Linked DNA regions of Mus musculus. The protein of the gene in region 2 interacts with the protein of the main gene of each other region in a pairwise test. Links are inferred from orthologs where the notes say so. Each region holds a gene or a part of one and is shown on either strand. Other genes may lie near its edges.

The links.
Region 1: the proteins of Nrip1 (region 2) and Cib1 interact in a two-hybrid assay, tested with the Homo sapiens proteins (2 studies listed by BioGRID and IntAct). The link is inferred for Mus musculus from reciprocal best matches to the Homo sapiens genes NRIP1 and CIB1.
Region 3: the proteins of Nrip1 (region 2) and Rorb interact in a two-hybrid assay, tested with the Homo sapiens proteins (2 studies listed by BioGRID). The link is inferred for Mus musculus from reciprocal best matches to the Homo sapiens genes NRIP1 and RORB.
Region 4: the proteins of Nrip1 (region 2) and Cep70 interact in binary tests that used the Homo sapiens proteins (3 or more experiments, as listed by UniProt). The link is inferred for Mus musculus from reciprocal best matches to the Homo sapiens genes NRIP1 and CEP70.
Region 5: the proteins of Nrip1 (region 2) and Esr2 interact in a two-hybrid assay, tested with the Homo sapiens proteins (2 studies listed by BioGRID, with this or other methods). The link is inferred for Mus musculus from reciprocal best matches to the Homo sapiens genes NRIP1 and ESR2.

Annotation. Positions count from the first base shown.
Region 1 is NC_000073.6:80,229,999-80,234,189, forward strand, and holds the start of Cib1 (calcium and integrin-binding protein 1), read right to left. Parts: upstream 2,808-4,191; 5' UTR 2,563-2,807; coding exon 2,512-2,562; intron 2,381-2,511; coding exon 2,346-2,380; exon of another isoform or gene 2,005-2,345; intron 427-2,004; coding exon 318-426; intron 1-317. UniProt on the Homo sapiens protein: Calcium-binding protein that plays a role in the regulation of numerous cellular processes, such as cell differentiation, cell division, cell proliferation, cell migration, thrombosis, angiogenesis, cardiac hypertrophy and apoptosis.
Region 2 is NC_000082.6:76,293,038-76,296,555, forward strand, and holds part of Nrip1 (nuclear receptor-interacting protein 1), read right to left. Parts: intron 1,979-3,518; 5' UTR 1,631-1,978; coding exon 1-1,630. UniProt on the Homo sapiens protein: Modulates transcriptional activation by steroid receptors such as NR3C1, NR3C2 and ESR1. Also modulates transcriptional repression by nuclear hormone receptors.
Region 3 is NC_000085.6:18,957,697-18,961,196, forward strand, and holds part of Rorb (nuclear receptor ROR-beta), read right to left. Parts: intron 2,846-3,500; coding exon 2,713-2,845; intron 1-2,712. UniProt on the Homo sapiens protein: Nuclear receptor that binds DNA as a monomer to ROR response elements (RORE) containing a single core motif half-site 5'-AGGTCA-3' preceded by a short A-T-rich sequence.
Region 4 is NC_000075.6:99,241,952-99,246,157, reverse strand, and holds the start of Cep70 (centrosomal protein of 70 kDa), read right to left. Parts: upstream 2,818-4,206; 5' UTR 2,668-2,817; exon of another isoform or gene 2,274-2,667; intron 1-2,273.
Region 5 is NC_000078.6:76,163,743-76,167,260, forward strand, and holds part of Esr2 (estrogen receptor beta), read right to left. Parts: coding exon 3,515-3,518; intron 1,880-3,514; coding exon 1,707-1,879; intron 1-1,706.

The DNA.
Region 1 (4,191 bases), on a different chromosome or scaffold from region 2:
GAATGCAGAACGAATGCTGGTTTTAAACGGGAAGAGTGGGCTGAAGAGATGGCTCAGGGATTACAAGTCCATACTGCTCTTGCAGAGGACCCTAGTTCAGTTCCTGGCACCTGTGAGGAACAGCTCACAACCACGTATAACCCCAGCACCAGGGAAACTCGACAGGCACCAGCACTTACATGTGTACACATCCCACACAATTCCATGTCATCAAAATAAAAACCCCAGGGTGTGGTGGCATGTGCTTACAATCAATAGGAAGGGTTAGGGAAGGTACTAGCAGAGAGAGGGTGGATGAAGTGGGTAGAGGACTGAACCTTGAGCTCTGGGAGGCTGAGGATCTGCTCAAACGATACTCGGGTGTGCAGTGACTCCTCCACGGTCCGCTGCTCTGGGGGAAGCAGCTCACAAAAGCGTCTGTGGGCTCTGGCAGAGAGAGGGGAACTTATTGGTGGCCTCAAGCAGTCAGTCTCCCTGTATTTATGACATCCCCATTCTGCGGTTTGAATGCCCTATAAACCAGCTGTGAAACTAAGTCACACACCCAGGATTCCCAGTCATTGGGCAATCTTTAGCCAAAGAGGGTAATTCACAAAACAGCAGAGGCTTGGGGGGGTCCCTTCTTAGGGTGGGCAATTATAAGAACTTACCCATGTCTGCAAGACACTATCTGAAGGGACTCTGACTAGCTTGGTGAGCATGGTTCTGGCAGGCCTTGCTCACTCTGCAGGGCCCAATTCCTTCTACCTTGCTACAAACCTACATTGCTAAAGCCAGCCCCCAAAGTCTATTCCCCTATTTGGCCACTTCCTCCTCCTGAGGCCGACGACCAAGGTCCAGCTATCAAAGTATTCACGTCCAGCAATCAAAAGCCCCCTTTGGCTAAAATTAAACACCTCCTCGTAGCCCAGGGTTTCCCCTTATACCTTTATAATCTGCCATTTTCCTATGTCCATGTCTGTCTCCTCTCTATCCAGAGGCAGTCCTTTCTCCTGTAGGACAAATACTCCTTCCACCTCTCCATTGTTCCCTTCCCCTTCTTCCTGTCTTCGAACTCATGTCTTTGTTATTTCTTGCCCTCTGTCCCTCTAAGGCAATAAATCTCCTTTGTGCTAAGAACTTGGTCTGGGGGTCCTGAGCTGCGACTTTCCCTTTCAGTGTCAGGCATTCTTTGCAACAGTCCTGGCAGGAAAAAGATAACTCTAGAGACATCTGTGCCTGTCCCTTTGGCTATTGAACTACAGAAACAATGTCCCCCGAGAAATTGGAATTCCCCGGCAATCTCGTGTTGTGAGAAGGATGAATTGAAGCCTGTTGTCTACTTAGGAGAAAATGTCTACCAGGAAGAGATTTTACACAGACGGCTCTGGTAACTTGTCAGAAGATCACCTTTCATGAGACTAGAGCTGAGACAATGAAGGAGAGACTCCATCTTGCCCAGGACTGCTGCTTAATTTTACATACCCTTGCCCTTTATTTAAATATAAACCTCACATCAGCTGGACATGAAGATTGACTTAAAGATGGGGGGAGGAGCGGTCATGTCCATTCTTAGCTTTTTTTTTTTCCCAGTATGGCCACATTGGATACATTTCGTTTCTCTGCTTTTCAATATTGTCCCTTTCCTTGGCCTACTGAGGACAGGTAGCACAGCCTAGCTGGTTAGGACTGCCTGTGTGGGCCAAGTACCTGGACTCTAACATTACAGTAACAAAAACACATGTTACCTCCACTCCAGAGACTCCTCTCAGCCACCACCTCTTTCCCAGTAGAATTTCATTGTGGGGCTAGGAACCTAACTCAAGCGCTCTGGCCAGCAAATCACTTATAGTGTGCTTTATAGTCAAGTTCTCAGAACTCTCTGAACCTGATTCCTTGATCTGTAACCTCCTCCTGAAGTAATGTGTGGATCACTCAGGAGCTACTGGGCAGAGTAAGGGTTCAGTAAACGTTAACGGTTACTGAATTAAACAGGTAAAGTTGGGATTGGAGCGAGCCACGTACAAGACCTCTTGGTTTTGCCAGAGGGCAAAGTCCGCAAAGAGTCACAGCAGTTCCTTTTAGAAGCGAGCAGGAAGCTCGGCAGTGAGGAGGCTAGAGGAGCTCAAACAGTTCAACTTTTCCTGGATACACAGAAGTGTTTGCGTGGTGCAAAGGTGAGGCTCTGGAGCGGGTGGGACTTGCACTCTGAGCCTCCGACTCCAGATCCAGTGATCCTGACATCCCAGAAGCACAGCCCCACCCTCGGAGGTGAGACGTCCAATCCGTATCCCGCGAGAAAAGTACCCGCAAAGCCCTCCCCTGGCAATCCCGAGTTGGAGGACCGGGGTCAGGGCAGCACTCACAGGAGGATCTCCTGCTTGGTCAGGAACGTCAGGTCCTGAAAGGCAAATCCAGACAAGGGTCTGCAAGCCGCCCGAAAGCCACGGCCGCCCCGCCACCTGTTCCCCGAACCCCACTCCCCTGCGCGGGCTCGCACGCGAGCTCCGCGAGAACTGGCGCCCCGCGCACCTGGTACTCGGCCAGCAGCTCCTTAGACAGGCGACTGCCCGAACCTCCCATCGCCGCGGTGCGCGCACAGCTAGGCCAACTCTCCCCGGGACGCCGGCAACTTTCTCACTTCCGTCCTCGGGGCCGCGTCCCCGCCCAGTCCCCGTAGCAACCGCTGCCTGGCCTCCGCCCCCGGGCCCGCCCCTGCCTACAGTGCCCCGCCACCCTTAGCGCCGCTCAGCGGGCCGGCTCCCGGCTCCCCGCGGGCCCAGGAGAGCTGGAGGGAGGGCCCGGGGAGGAGCCGGACGCATCGGGGCGGGGCCCAGGCCTCGTGGCCCCGCCTTCTAGTGGGCGGGGCGGAACGAGCCATGCGCACGTGATGCAGACTGCGCCTGCGTCGCGGTCTTCACGCGTTTGCTGAGTTCCGGGACCCGTCTGTGCACTGAGCCTTGAGATGCATCCGCCTCACCTAAATCAAGTGCAGAAGACCCCAGCTCTGGGTGGAGGCGGGTAACCTCCATACTCGCTCCCGGGCTGGAGGAGATCCGGTGCCCCTCTGCGGATAGGGTCAGTCCTAGACTGTCTCACGGGACAAGAGCTGCAGCCTCTGCCACCGTGCCAATTCTTCCAGAAGAAGCTTAGCTTCCTCTTGAAGTGGCTCTTGAAGGTGTTTACTGGATTGTGCAGTTATCGCCCATTCGTGGAACAGTTAGCAAGGTAGGCTTCCATTTTACAAACAGGTTCAATTTCAGTGATGTGTCCGGACTCCGGTATTTAGAGGTCAGTTCTGTCCACAGGTCCCTCCTGCTGTTTTATCGTCACAGCTGGGGTGCCTCCTTTGATTCCTCCCACAAATTGCGAGCTTCCAGCTGTAGGAACCAAGATTTGCCCTTCTCTCCTCTCAAATAATAATCAGATGCAAGTATGAACATATTTACACTGTGTGAAAAAGTGAAGATTCCAAGCTTCCGGAGGAGGAAATGTGGATTTTGTGATCTGGGTGGTCAACTTGGTTGGATCTGGAGTCAAGGAGAAGGGAAACAGCTTGACACTCCTGTGAGGGATTTTCTTTTTTCTTTTTTTTTTTTTTTTTTGCTTCGTCACCTGGCACAACAGGGCCAAGTCAATTACAATTTATTTGAGAATATTTTAACTTCGTACTGGACTGGTATTCATTCCTAGAGAAGTCTGGTCCTTCATCCGGCCAGTCCAGCTAGATGTTCCATACCCTCTGGGTAGGAGACTGTAAACCTTGCTTCTCATGCTTCTTTCTCTCTGCTCCTTCTTTAGCCTCCAGGAGAGGTGCAGGCTCTACCGCAAAGCCCAGGGGCTATGGCTTGCTTTCCTGGTCCACTCAGGGTCTTACCTCATAGAAACCCCTGAGCAGAGGGATTTTCTTGATCAGTTTATTTGAAGTGCGAAAATCTACTGCGGCAGTGCGCTCAGGTGGCAACCCGTACCAAACGGAAACGGAAGATGGCTTTTGGCCTGTTTGCCTTGGCTTGCTGATAAGTCTCTATCCTGTACCTGCCACTAAGGATTTCCTTTAATGACATTAGAATCATAGTGTTCCAGCTGCCAACTCAGATTGAAGACCAACAGCTCTCTAGGAACCCAGCACCGGCTTGGGACTGCAGAGATGCATCCTTGGGGACAGCTGCCGCTGTTGATCAGCCCAGACAATACTGAGTAAACCAATTT
Region 2 (3,518 bases):
GGCTTTCGATGACAGAAGTCCTTGTGTAATTCTGAGGACTGAACTTAGTCCCATCACTATGGATGTCCTGAGGGCTGGCGTTCCTTTCAACAGTTTCTTCACTTTTATGGCCGAGCAGCAACTGAAGAAGAGTGACTTTCTGGTGTGAATTCAGCTTGGAATTTGTTGAGGTATCTTGATCTTCTTTGATGTCAACGCCGGGGATCTTGGGATCCCACGTGTTTAACAAGGACTGGGTTAGGTTCTCCAGCGAAACGGGCCGCTCAGCTTCCGGCTTTTCGATCCGGTGTTTGCAAGACAGGTCTATGGGAACGCAATTGGAGTACGAGCTTTCGTCTCCACTGCTGTCATCTGTAAAGCTCGGGTTGTTATCGGAGTACTCATCAATCGTGGTGGGCGTGCTACTCTCAAAACTGCTCGCTCTCTCGTTCTGGCTGTGCCCGTTCATCGGCGTGGGTATGGTCTGGCTTTTGAGGAGATGCAAAAGCAGACTGTTATTAGCAGCCTGCTTTAGGTTGTTTCTTTCCAGTGAGTTCTTATAGCTCGTGTTTTTGGGGGAGGAAGGGACAACACCCATTGGACTCTGAAAGGTGGCAGCGTTATTCTTGTTGGCCACCAGTTTGCTTGCCGGCAGTGCTCTGGCCTGCCCGTTGAGATGGCCAGACACCCCTTTGGAGAGCTGCGAACTGCCCACGTCCTTCTGCCCATTCTCTTGCAATCTGGCCATGGCTGCAAGTCTTTCGCTTGCCACCTGATGTGCGTTCTGCGTTTTTAGAGCATGTTCCCGAGAGTACTGCTGCAGGTGGGCCTCGCTGGACAGGAGCAGCGCCAACTGGCTGCAGGCAACACTAGGCTTTGGGGAGGCAGCGGGACTCGCCCTTTTCTCCACCATGCTGGCAACAGCCTGTAATCTTGCAGCACATGACAAGGGCTCACTCATGACCTTTGTCCCACTTTGTCCCACTGCGGGATGGGATGACTCAACAAAGCTATCTCTGATAAGGTTTGGAGTCACGTCAGGGAGGGTGGGACCTGACTTTTGATCCTTGGTTTTACTTTTCTTCAACAGAGTTTTTAAGTGACTTGAGGCCACGCCATAGCACCTTAAATCCTTCTCCACTTTTAAAGACTCGTGACTGAGGGCATATCCCTGCTCCTTGAGGCTCTGTCTAATCTGCTGTGACAGAGCAACAGTCTGCAGCCTAGAGCTGAATGACTGAAGCAAAGAGGCCAGCAATGTGCTATCCTGTTTGCCTTTAGGCACACTGTCAACCATGCCAGCCAGCAACGCTTCCTTCTTTACGTTTAAATTCACGATGGAATCAGACAGCCTCTTCCGCTTTGCCGCGTTCCAGTCCTCGGAAGACTGCAGCAGTCTGGCTTTTTTGAGGTGCAGCATGCCAGATCCCTGGTACGTCTGGGTACTGACAGTGGGACCATTGCTTTGACAGGAGGGAAACGCACTGCCCGAGAGGTTAAAGTTCTGGTCTTCCTCTTTGTGGCCAGCAGACTTTTTGTTAATGGCAGTGCCTGATCCCCCTGCTGCCTGATGCATTAGTAACCCTTCGAGGTAAGTTAAGACAATAGAATCCTGATGCACATCAGAGCCAAGCTCTTCTCCATGAGTCATGTTCAATACAAGCGCTCACAGGGGCTCGGCTTCCGTTCACGTGAAAGAGCTCCTCTCGTCAGTAAGATCCCACGTGACGTCAGGAAGTGAGCGTCACCTGATCACCTCCCATAGCAGTCGGGCAGAGATGCACTGTTAACATTCTGACCAGGGGATCTTCAGGCAGTGACGAGGGGCTCAGAGGCTGGGGCAAACTCGGGTGCAGACTACAGCACTGATGAGTGGCTAGGCAAGGGCCAGCCTCGCAACTTCCTTAGCACAGCGGCAGCGCTGGCACCCAGGTCTCAGGGAATATGCTGGTTTTCTTTCTTCATCATCTTTCGTTGCTCACCAAACGCACGTCAGTATCTAAAAATATAAAAATAAAAATAGTTGAGGAGAAACAGAGCTGGCATCATGCTCATTACCTATAAGGAATAGAATACAGCATTGTGAGTTTCACATAAGGTATAACACATTATAAATATAGTTTGCACACACACACACACACTATGCACACATACACATGACAGCCACATCCATTTAACATGTGATTTGTAGGTATGTATCCTTAAAAATACTTCACTGCAACGGAAGGATGAGCTACGGCCTTGCGAACACAGCACAGTTTACTAAGAGGCTCCAATGCTGTACAGTAAGTAACACACACGTACGTGTTTCATTGTTTATTTCCTACCTTCCCCGAAAAACGAGACTGCAGGTAAATAAATAATCATTTCCTAAATCAGAACCCACCCCGGATGTTTAACTTGAGGGATAACGGGAAATCCCGAGTTCGTGCTTCTCATTCACACGTCATCCAACACAACGCTCAGACGCCAGTCTCCATGGAGATCTGTTTCAGCACTGTGGAATGACATGAAGCCGGGGAGCTATGACAGCGAATGCTAGCACTGGGCCCTGAACCTTGACCCACATATCTAGGACAGTATAAGTATAGTATAAGGAAAATCCTCTTCGCCCGGGGCGGTCTATTTCTTCTTACATGCCCAATGAACATGGACACAGTTAAACAGTAAATGTGATTCAGAAAATATCTTAAGGCTCCTTTAAAGTTTTAAGTGAAAAATTTAATAAAAGAAAGGCAAATTTAAATCTTTTTCGTTTTCTGCCCAAAATACCAAAGAAATTTGATAAAGGAAGGGTTCCCACTAGATGAGTTAGAATCTGAACCCAGAAGACCCCATGCTCATGAAGGGTGATGCTACCATTGACCTCTGTATGCCACACCTGACTAGCGTGTTCAGAAAGCTTAATATCCAGGTGGATTTTCCTCTAATTCAAGAATAAAATGGGTGAACAAGGTCGCACTAGATAACAAGAAATACAGAGTTTTCATCCCATCAGTCGCTGTACTGGAAGGACTTCATCATTCTGAGGTTTTACTGTCTGGAAGCTAGAAGCCCTTCTGCCCACCAAGACTCCGAGCAGTCACAGTTCACTCGAGACTTTTCATTAAGTGGGAAAATGCCAAAGGCAGGCGCATGACAAAAGAAGTCAGAAGGAAAGAGATGATGTGAGAGTGAGGTCATTTATTCAACTGCTTACCACAGTTGCAGTTAATCTAAAAATGAAAAAGATTTACCAATTATTAAGACAAGGAAGGTTCCTGCTCTCTATTCAGCATAATTAGCTGTTCAAAGTTTTAAGAGTAACACATTCTGGACCGAAAATGAAATAAAATATATTGAATTTGTCGTGCTTAATAACAACTTTTAAATGTGAGTCTACAAGTAGGATCTTGCAGATTTTTTTATGTTCTGAGAGATGACGCAGCACAGTGGGTTACACAACTGGTCTGCAGTTGGCTTTGAAGAGTGAAGACACTTCATGACTGCCTCCTCTTATTGGGGACTCCATTACTTTCCTTTTGCCTTAAGCCCAGTGG
Region 3 (3,500 bases), on a different chromosome or scaffold from region 2:
TCCTTCTGCCTCAGCCCCAAAGTTCTGAGATGTATCATCGACCTAGGACATTTCAAGAGAGTCCTTCTTCAAAAGTAATCATCTTAGGGGTGCAGAGAGATGGTGCAGCTGTTGAGAGTATGTGCTTCTGTTAGGTTCCCAGCACCATATTAAGAAACTCAAACTCTAGGAGATCCTATACTCTCTTCTGAAGGTACTACTACACATGTGAAAAATTATTACACAGAGTAATAATTTTAGAAATCAAGATCTTTTGATACTTTGATAAAGAAATAAAAAGAATATATTTAAAAGCTGGATAAAATGGAAGACAATATTTCCTTCCTTTTTGTTTGTCTTTTGACAAATTTTAAATTTCACTCCAGCTTTTCAACTTTTAAAGTTGATAAGTGGTCCAGGAAGTGTCAGCCACATCTACTCTATGAGCTTTAGTATAAAAAGGGTTACTTCTGGAAAGGTTCACCTTTGGATTTTTGCCACATGTAACAGCAGTAATACGCATTTGGAGTAATTTCACTCAGTCTGACATTGTGTAGGACCAAGGAAAGTTGGCAGCCCAGAGTGGGTGCTTAATAACATTTAGTGAATGAATTAGTCAATTGCCTTTGTTTGTCCTCTCAACAAACATTTCTATCCCGAGACACTATTGCTGTCCCATTTCTCCATGTTTTAGAGATGTGAGCTTTGCCCTATTTGAAGGCGAGAGACTCCGGAGTACCACATTCTTGTGTGAAGATCTTACAGCTGATTTGGCTGCATCTATGGCACCTTCCTTACACCCTCACTTTATCATGTTTGTGTTTTATTTCCTATGCTTTGCTGATTTTTCCTTACTTTTAGCCTATGAGTATAGAGATAGGAGAAGATGTACAAATATTAACCCGGTATGGTCATCTTGACACCAGTGGAAACAGATACCATTGATCGCACATCTGCACTACAGAAGACAGTTTCCTGGTGGTAATGACCATTTCAAGTGAATTTCACATAGATTCATGTAAATAGAAATTACAGGAGGCTTTAAGGTACTAAGTACCTTTATACTGAAGACACCATTTGTATAGGAGGCAGGATATGAATGATCATGTAATTCAATGGCACCAAATACCATCCACGGATTGGGAATATACGAATCTCAGAAACGCACTGAACTGGGTTCCCCTCTAAAGGGACTGAATTCCATACTCTGCGATGATGGGTGCATCTCTGAACTGTTAAAAAGTTCCTTTCCTATGTTTGCTACAATTCCTAGTTTGCGGTTCTGGTCCCATTCTTTATTTTAAAGGTTAGAACACTGACTTCTTAAGGTGTTTGTTCAAGGCCATACTTCAAACAGGTCAGGTGTTATTCTTTTGATAAGAGTCACAAAAAATGTCACCTATTCCATATGCTTCCAAAACCTTACTGTAGAAGGCATGCCTAGTACACTTGACCCTGGGTATGCTTTCATGATAGCATTAATTGGTAGAGAATGGTATAGATAACCTAATGTGACTTCTTAGGGTATGTCAGAAGATTATAAGAACTCCCGCTGTGTTGTTTTGGAATTCTGGATTCTGGAACCCAGTGACTATACTGTCTGGAAGTCCAGGCCATCTGTGGAGCCATTTTTCTTACAGGGACAGCAACTGAAGCCCCAACACAGAGCCTTTGTTGATGCTACCCTTTCACCAGCAGATTGTTGCCCACGTGAGCAATAAAATGGATTCTCCTGTCCTGATGGGAATTGTCTCAGTGCACACCAGGAAAATAAGCATAGTAGGGAGAAACCATCCTTCTGAGCTCTATAAACTGTAGCCTTGAGCACAAAATAAATAAATGATTATTTAACCAAATTTTAGGATGGTTAGATAACTGAGATAACATTGGAATCAGTGCTTGAGTCAGAGTTTTTGCCCATTGCTATCATTGGTTAAAGAATCAACATCATGCTACCATAACAACTCTAGGTGGCCTATGTTCAAATGGCAGCTTTATCATGGTTTGTGATATTGAACACGGCCTTTTACTCTCGTTGTTTCAAGTTTGAAATGATACCAATCTCATAAAAATAAATGAAACATCATGTGTAAATGTGGAGATATGTACGAGGGAAAAGGATGTTATTTTCAGTGTGAATGAGTCCAGGAAGATGAACCCAAAAGCTACTGGGTTCCAATTTTCTTTTCAAAAGGATCCAAGAGAGACACAAGTACTTTTTTTTTTGCTAAGGCCACAAATAACGTCAGTATTTCCTGTGTGTTAAAGAGAACATCAGAGAAGAAGGAAGGATCCCAACACAGAGGAGTTTCTTCCAGTAGATCCAGGCTGCAGGCTATTCTCATTAAAATGATTGGAAGTGACCACAGAGGCCCAGCTCAGCCAGCTTGGATGTTTTTGTTCTCTTGCAGGAGCAAGAAGCTGGTTTTAGCGCCAGCTCAGCAATTCAGCCACCTTGACATGCTAATTACTTTCACTGCCTGTCAAGCTGGGCATCTCAGCCTCGGCAATTAATAGCTCTACTTTTCAATAAGCAAAATTGTATTTGACTTCAAAGGGGTATATGAATGGATATCAGGGCATTTTTATTACTGAGTTTCCTGAGGGAGTTAGGTGACTGTGTGGGTGGCAAAAAAGACCTACCTGTGGAAGCAGGGTTTTCTAGGACCCGCGGAGTGCTGACGGCCAAACAGTCCCTGTCTGAAATAGGCCCTCACAAGTCAGAAGGCTCACCTGACTTCAGAAGTAAGATCTGATCGTTCTGACACAGCTCCATGAAGCCTGTTATCCGCTTGGCGAACTCCACCACGTACTGGATAGCATGGGTGATCTGGATGGCACACTGCTGCCACAGAGCCTCCCTGGACTGAAGCAGAGAGGACACAGCCCTTGAATTGACCACCTTCCAAGGAGATGAGGAAATACGCATGCCTTGCCCCACCTGTCACTGCCACCCAAGGTGGGAAGTGATTTTTTTCTTTCTTTTTTGATTACGTGAATTCTATTGTTCTCAACTATCAAAGTACCATAGCTAAACAAGGAGAAATGATGTTTATAGAATGCAAAATAAATATTTTTCTTTACTATTTTTCTCCATTTCTTACTGCAACAAACTCAGTCTTAGTTCAATAGCCATAAACAAAGCCCATGTTCAGGAATAGTGAGTGATTTCTATCCTAGCATCCACCATAATACTGTCTTTTTGGGAACCTGGTGGACACTGAAGATAATATTTTCATGTTGTGTTCTTTTCCCAGAATTTAAGAAAAAAATCCTGATATTGTGGTTGTCTATTATTTTATGGGGGAGGGTGAGTTTCACCATGTAATCCAGGCTGACCTAGAACAAAATGCAGAGCTTAAAGGGGTGTGGTGTGTGTGGGGGGGGTCAGCTTCAGAAGGTTCTTCTCCTTTGCCTTCTGAGTGCCAGAATTGTAGGCAGAAGCCACCAAACATGAGTTATAAATTGTTTTGTTTGTTTGTTTTGTTTTTGTATAAAAGAAATTCCATAGGAAAGATGAG
Region 4 (4,206 bases), on a different chromosome or scaffold from region 2:
AAACTGCAACAAGAACGAACAGCTTTTTCCACAGATGCCCCCCTTCCTTTCCCCCTTGTCCTTCCTCCTATTGCTTTATTGAAACATGTGCAGGATATTCAAATCTATCATTCTGATATGTGGCCTTCAAGGGTAGTTATCCTTGCTTGCAAGTGTACTCAAGTAAAAGCAGGAAGCAGAGAACTTATTTACACCCGTGATCAAGCCCCCACCCCCTGTAACCCCCAAGGTTCTCTGAGTTCTGAAAGTGTTCTTTAAAAAGTCATAGTAAAAACCTGTAAGCTTTTTCAAGAGCACACTTCCAATTATTACAAATTGACACAAAGTATTACCTATTAATGCAAACATGCTAATCGTCTGTAGTAATCTTTTCCCCATCCAGGCTATTAACAAGACACGGCTTTGGAACCTTGAAAGTCACAGGAAAAAAAAAAAAATAACGGCATCCTAGGGCCAAGGCAGAACCTTTACAGAGTGTTGTTAACACACAGGACTCCTAGAGTAGGAAGTAGAGGACGGATGTCGTTTAGCCACGTGGCAAATAAAGCCAAGTGTTACAAAAAGGAGAAAAAAAATCACATACCCATAATTCCCAGCTTTGGGTCTTAGGAAGGATATGAGACAGCCCAGGCTACATAGTAAAACCCTATCTCAAGAAAAGAAAGAAGCCAAACACAGTGGTAGACACCTTTAATCTTACCACTCAGGAGACAAAGGCAGGCAGATCTTGTGAGTTCGAGGCCAGCCTGGTCTACACAGTGAGTTCCAGGACTATATAGAGAGACCCTGTCTCAAAACAAAAACAAAAAAACCAAAACCAAAACAAAAACAAACAGAAATGAAACAGCACAGTGCTAAGAGCATGTTATCCCTTACAGGGGACCAGAGTTCAATCCCCTTCACCCACGCCTGGCAGCTCACAACCACCTATGACTCCAGCTCCAGGAGATCCAACTCCTCGGCCCCCACGAGTACCTGTACACATGAACACGCACATAATTAAAAGTGGTAAAAATGTTTAGTGGCGGATGGTGATGCATGCCTTTATTCCCAGCACTCAGGAAGCAAATCCTAGTGGACTCCTGTAAGTTCAAAGCCAAACTGGTCTACATAGTGACTTCCAAGACAACCTGGACAACATGGCAAGATCTTGTCTCAAGAAAAGGAGGGTGGGGAAAAAGAAAAGAGAGAAAAGGAAAATAAGAGAAAAAGAAGATAAGAGAAAAACAAAATGAGAAAAAGATGAAACTGGAGATGTTTGAAACAGAACCTTGGCTGACCTAGAACTAGCCTAGGCAACCCATCCCTCTCAGCCCTGGGAGTGTGAGTACAAGTGACAGCCATCATGGGGGGAAAAGTGTATATTTTGACACAGTCCATCCATGTTTCACAACAGTTCATTAATTGCCCTGTAGGTATCTGAGGATCTGTTAAAATACAACACATACTAAAATTTTATAGCCAGGCAATGGTGGTGTGCACTCAGGAGGCAGAGGCAGGAGGATCTCTGTGAGTTCTAGGTGAGCTGGGTCTAGAGAGCTAGTTCCAGGACAGCCAAGGCTACATAAAGAAATCTTGCCTCAAAAAACAAAAAACAAAAACAAAAAAAAAAAAAAAACAAAACCCCCATAAATATAATAGCTGGGTGTGGTGGTGTTTAGCTGTAACCCCAGCATTTCAGAGGTTGGAGGATCAGGAATTCAATGTCGTCCTCAGACGGCCTGCATGAAACCTTGCCTTAACGTGAATCAACAATTCAATTCCAACAACATTGCAACTTGCTCTTCACGGTTTACCATTTACTAGCTATTTACTATTTACAAAAATCCATGCAATGCACAAGATTGAAACCAATGCCTGCAGCGCTGATATGATTACAAAATAAAGTGGCAGGCTAGAGAGACAGCTCAGTGGGTAAAGGCACTTGTCCCAAGAAAGCTTGAGAAGCAATCCTCAGAATCCACAGGAGGCGAGAATTCTGTAACCCCGGGCCTCCTGTAGGGAGATCGGACTCTGCAGCTCTCCCCTCCATCCCCTACAGTATGCAGAAAAACAAAAGACCTTGTCTCAAACAAGGTAGAGGCAATGACCGACGCCCAAGGTTGTCCTCTTTCTCTACGTCTGCACCGTGGCGTGAACAATTATTGATTAGTTGATAATAGTGGGAACCTTGATTAGGCTTTGCTGTGTTTTTCACATTAATCAACGTGGACCCACATAAAGGCGGAGTCCTTAAATTTGTAATGAGTCTGACAGGAGGGGTACTCGCCTACCCTTTACTCCGCGATCTCCCACTTGGCTCCAAATCGCTATCACCTGACAGCGCCGCAAAGAGAACTGGAGCTAGCCCGGAACCCAGCCGATTCCATGTAGGAGTCTAAGCTCAGTTCCTGCTTCCTCTACCAGGTCGCACACCTTCAACACTCGGCTGGGAGAAGAGGTTGAGTGAGGAGCGAGGGACACAAAGCGACGGGCGGGCTCCCCGCAGGGAGGTCCACGCCCACACCTGCACGCGCATTTCCTAGCTAGCGCGTAGGAGCCGGGGCGACTCCATTCTGAGGGCCCTGGCTGGTGAGTGGGACGCTCCGGATTCCGGAGAAGCCACCTTTGGGCGTGCACCTGAAGGGGGCCCACGTAAAGTCCTCGGCGACCCCAAGCGCCACTCACCTCGGTCACAGCCCGTGGCTTCCACCGCGCTCGCCCCCGCGGCCTAAGCCCCGCCTACGCGACCGTTAGCGCAGCCAGGCTGACCAATCGAACTGACGCAGTCGATGGCCTCCCAGCGGGGCGGGACAACACCACCTGGCGCGCCGGGAAGGCGGGTCCACGCCGCGCTCTATCGTTAGCTCCGCCCACGGGGCGGGGCTTCTTCCCGCCTCCACTCCCACCGGACCCGGACTTGCTGCGGCTACTTTGTAGCAGGCGCTTTGACACTTCCTGGACGCTCCGCCTGATAGTCGCTCAGTCACCATGGTGTTTCTTTGATCCCCGAGAAGCTAGAAATACACACATTTGCGGTTGCAAGTGAAAGTGAGGCCGGGGCTGCCTTATTATCACTGGATGCCTGCGCTCCCTACAGCTCCCCCTCACGCCCTGACTGCGAGCCTTTTTCAGGAACTGTCTGCACGGGGCAACCCCAATAAGCATTTCTTGATAACATTTCACCTTCTCCTTGAATATTTTCAAAGGTCTACGAAGAACTGAGATGCCTGCCTGACGAAGCTCAGTCTAGATAGGCAGTTTGGGCTCCTGTTAGACACTGATAAGACTGGTTAATAAAGGGTTTGTGGCTACAGAGATAAAAGATTACATAAGGACATGAGGCACAACTCTTGCTTCAACTTTAGATAAGCTGAAAAGCCTTGAAAACGATCTATGGGCCTCCAGGTTAATTAAGTCAAGATCTCTAAAGTGGGGCCCACACGTCCAGAGTTTATATGGTTCCCCGAAGTGATTCTAATGTATAGCCAGGAGGGAGAACCAACTGTCCGCTGAGAAATAATTAAGACTGATTCTAAACCTGGTGGGGAAGAGGGACTGGAGATGTAGATCAGTTGGTAGAATTCAGCGTCCGGGAAGCCCTTGGGTTTGATTCTTCAACACGGCCTAAGACAGGCGAGCTGACACGTGCCTGTAATTCCAGAATTTAGGAGGTACAGGCAGATCAGGAGTTCAAGGTCATCCCTGGCTTTATAGCAAAAGTCAAGACCACCGGAAGCTACAGGAGGCCTTGGCTCAAGGAAAAAAATAAAACGAAGGTCCTTCTCCACTCTTTTCAAAAACCAAAAGTGGGTTAAGAAATCCAAAATATGTAAGGGAAAAAAAATCATGTTCGCAGTCTAAAGGATGACCTCGAGTTTTCAGGAATCTACCATCGTTGTCCTTGCAACTTACAGCCACACGGTGGCGGTATTGACAACAGGCATTTCCAGAAGGACTTGGGAAATGCAAGTCCCATCAGGGTCTTAGTGACCCTAATACATCAACTAAAGTGACTCTCTCTGGGTGGTCCAAGGGCACATCTCTTAAGAGAGTACTGCTCTCAAGCCCACGTTTAGGCACACAGTGAGTCTAAACTGTGTGTGTTCTCTGCAAACACATCCCAATCCCTCTATTCCCCCTCATGGCCCCTTCCTTCCCTTTCTATATCTGGATATTCACACTACGGAGCTGACAGATTTTCATTTTCAGCTTCCTAAGACAATC
Region 5 (3,518 bases), on a different chromosome or scaffold from region 2:
GATACCAAATGATGACCTCTAGCTTCCAAAGGGGCATGTACACACAGTCATACATGTATGCAAATACACACACTCACATGTGTACATGCACATAGGTTCACACACACATACAGAATATATCTCTACGCATCGTGTGAGCCCAATGCTTTTTACAAATTATCATTCAAGAAACTGGTTTTGTACCAGTAATGAACAAAATAGAATACACTGCATTGTCTTCCTGTGTCGCACAACCTAATACACAGTTCCACTAATACTCGTTGAAAGAATTTCAAAAGGAAACAGAATTAAAAGAATAAGCTTTTAAAAATAAGCCAAGCCCTAAGCTAGACCAGAAGTGGTAAGGAACCCCTGTCCTTGATCCCTTCTCTGTGCCCCACAGCCCAGGAGAGAAACTACAGGGTTTGGTCTGGTGGTGCCTCACTCTGTGGAGAGGTCAGCGAGTCTGGTCTTGATGGGAAACCTGGCACCACACAGCCCCACTGCACTAAGATGTAGGCAGTTGGCACCACACAGCCCCGCTGCACTAAGATGTAGGCAGCTGGCACCACACAGCCCCGCTGCACTAAGACGCAGGCAGCTGGCACCACACAGCCCCTCTGCACTAAGATGTAGGCAGCTGGCACCACACAGCCCCACTGCACTAAGACGCAGGCAGCTGGCACCACACAGCCCCACTGCACTAAGACGCAGGCAGCTGGCACCACACAGCCCCACTGCACTAAGACGCAGGCAGCTGGCACCACACAGCCCCACTGCACTAAGACGCAGGCAGCTGGCACCACACAGCCCCACTGCACTAAGACGCAGGCAGCTGGCACCACACAGCCCCACTGCACTAAGACACAGGCAGCTGGCACCACACAGCCCCACTGCACTAAGACACAGGCAGCTGGCACCACACAGCCCCACTGCACTAAGACGCAGGCAGCTGGCACCACACAGCCCCACTGCACTAAGACGCAGGCAGCTGGCACCACACAGCCCCACTGCACTAAGATGTAGGCAGCCTGCACCACACAGCCCCACTGCACTAAGACGCAGGCAGGCAGCTTTACCGACCAAGTTGGCAAGGAAAGTTGAAAACCATGAAAATGAAGAATGGTAAATGTCAGGAAGTACAGTGTGGCTTAGGGGCATAGCGCAGTTGGTAGAGAGCCTGCCTCACATGCAGGAAGCAGCCCTGGGTTCCATGTCCAGCGCCGAACAAACTGGGCTTAGTGGTGGATGCCTATGATCACTGTGGAGGTGGAGGATCCTATGTTCAGGATCTTTGATGACTAAATAATGGATTCAAGGTCAGCCTGGGTTACGTGGAACCTTGTCTCATAAACAAACCAACATTAAAGTTAAACGCCAGCCCACCGTCATGACATAAGCATACCCTATATTAAACCTAGGAAAAAATGAACAGATAGACATTCTTTGATGAGCACAGATTTTTTTTTCCTAGCACTATCTTTACAAGGTTGTAAACAGATATCTTTTCTGGCCCCTATAATCTTAGGGTTCTGGAGTAGAAACAAGCAATCCAGACATCCATACACCCCCACTCAACCCACTCCCAAACACACACTCATCTAAGCTGCTCACGTTCACAAAGTGTAAGCCAGCCCAAGGGTGACATTTATATCAGATCATCTCTGCAAAATTGCTTGCAAGCCAAAGTGTAAATACTAGAGGAATGATTTATCATAGTCTTGTACCTTGAATGCTTCTTTTAAAAAAGGCCTTACATCCTTCACAGGACCAGACACCGTAATGATACCCAGATGCATAATCACTGCAGACGGCGCAGAAGTGAGCATCCCTCTTGGCGCTTGGACTAGTAACAGGGCTGGCACAACCGCTCCCGCCAAGCTTCCTCTTCAGGGTCTCTCTGGGGGAGCAGAGAACACAGCCATTGTCAAAGGACACAACAAGAGAGGGGAAGGGCTTGGCAGAAAAAAAAAATAGCATGAACTTGGTCAAATTTAATCTCTTTGCCTTCCAGAGCTAGGGATAAATATGTTCCAGGAAACCTGATATCAGATCACAGGGAGCTCCATCGCAGTGGAGACTGACATTTAAGAGCCTACGTGGTGAGTCCAAGCCCTCAGAGGCTACGAAGAGGGCAGCTCAGGGCTGGGCTGGGATCCGTAGCTCTAAGAAGGAATTGTCCAGCAGAGGAGCAGCAGGGGCAGCTGCACACTCTGCCCATGGGCTGATTTGCCAGGACATGTTTCTTTTGGGGAGGGAGATAGTAGAGCTATTGCTAGTTCAGAAACGATAAAAACAAACTTCACCCTTTAAAGAGAGATATGTTAAAAGCACTTGTCTTCAGCCACAACCTACAGTTTTTATATTTGTTTCTTTAGCTTACCAATAAATAAAAATATTAAGGAGAAAAAATAAATTATTGTGTATTTTCTTAAAGGTTGTTTTGGTTTGGCTTGGTTTGGTTTGGTTTGGTTTGGTTTGGTTTGCCAGAGGTTCTGGGTTTGGGGGTACAGCAGGTTAGACCCAGAGCCTTGAGGATGTTAAACATGCCTCTAGTACTGAGATGGGCCCTCCAGCTCCTGTCTCCTCTAAGATTTATAACAATATTTGAAATATTGTTATAATAATAATAATATTATTATTGTAAATTATTTTTATATAAATATTGTTACAAATTTTTTTTTGTTTTGCCTTGTCTTTTGAAACAGGGTCTTTCTATGTAACCCTGGCTGTCCTGGAACTCACTATGTCGACTAGGCTAGACCTGGCTTGTGAGTGCTGGGATCAAAGGTATGCACCATCACACCCTACAAGTAATGCATTTAAGAGTCAGTGTGCCCTAACGTGGTTCTCTCTTCCAGCCCTCCGTTTCTTCCAGTCACGCATTCATATGTTCTCCTCTCTCTCAACAGCCATCGGTAGAGTCGAAAACCTTACAAATTAGACAGAAGCAATACATCACGTGGCCATGCATTCAGAGTTCAACTTGTGTTAACTTCAGATCTTTTCAACAGAATCCTACAGTTGGTGTCTCATTGCCCCTGACAAAGCACCACCTCAGCTCATCACTAAAGCCTGTGCCCGTTAGCTTTCCTGGCTTTGCATGGCTACTTCGTGGAAGTTGTAGTGTTACCATGGCTACGTTCATCCTGGAGACAATTTGTCATCAACAGTAAGTAACCTGTCATTTTACACTAAGACTCTAATCTGACTGTGAAAAGCAAACCAAACCAAACAAACCAAACAAAAGAAAACAAACCACTTAAAACCCAACACCTTCACCTAAACCAAACGGATACAAGTTTGATGTTTGCTGCATAAAGAGACGATTATTCATTATGGTGAACTCTCTCCATAGTGTCCATCCATAAGCGCAACATTTTAAGAACTAGAATGTCAGAGCAGGACAGAGCAACATGTCTCCAGTATCCTAAGAATGCAGGTGACAGAGTAAAGACCTTTTCTAACATGTCTTTCTTCATGCTAACCTGTAAAGAAAGGATCAAGCCACCACCCATGGTTTACAGGGCTTTACCTGT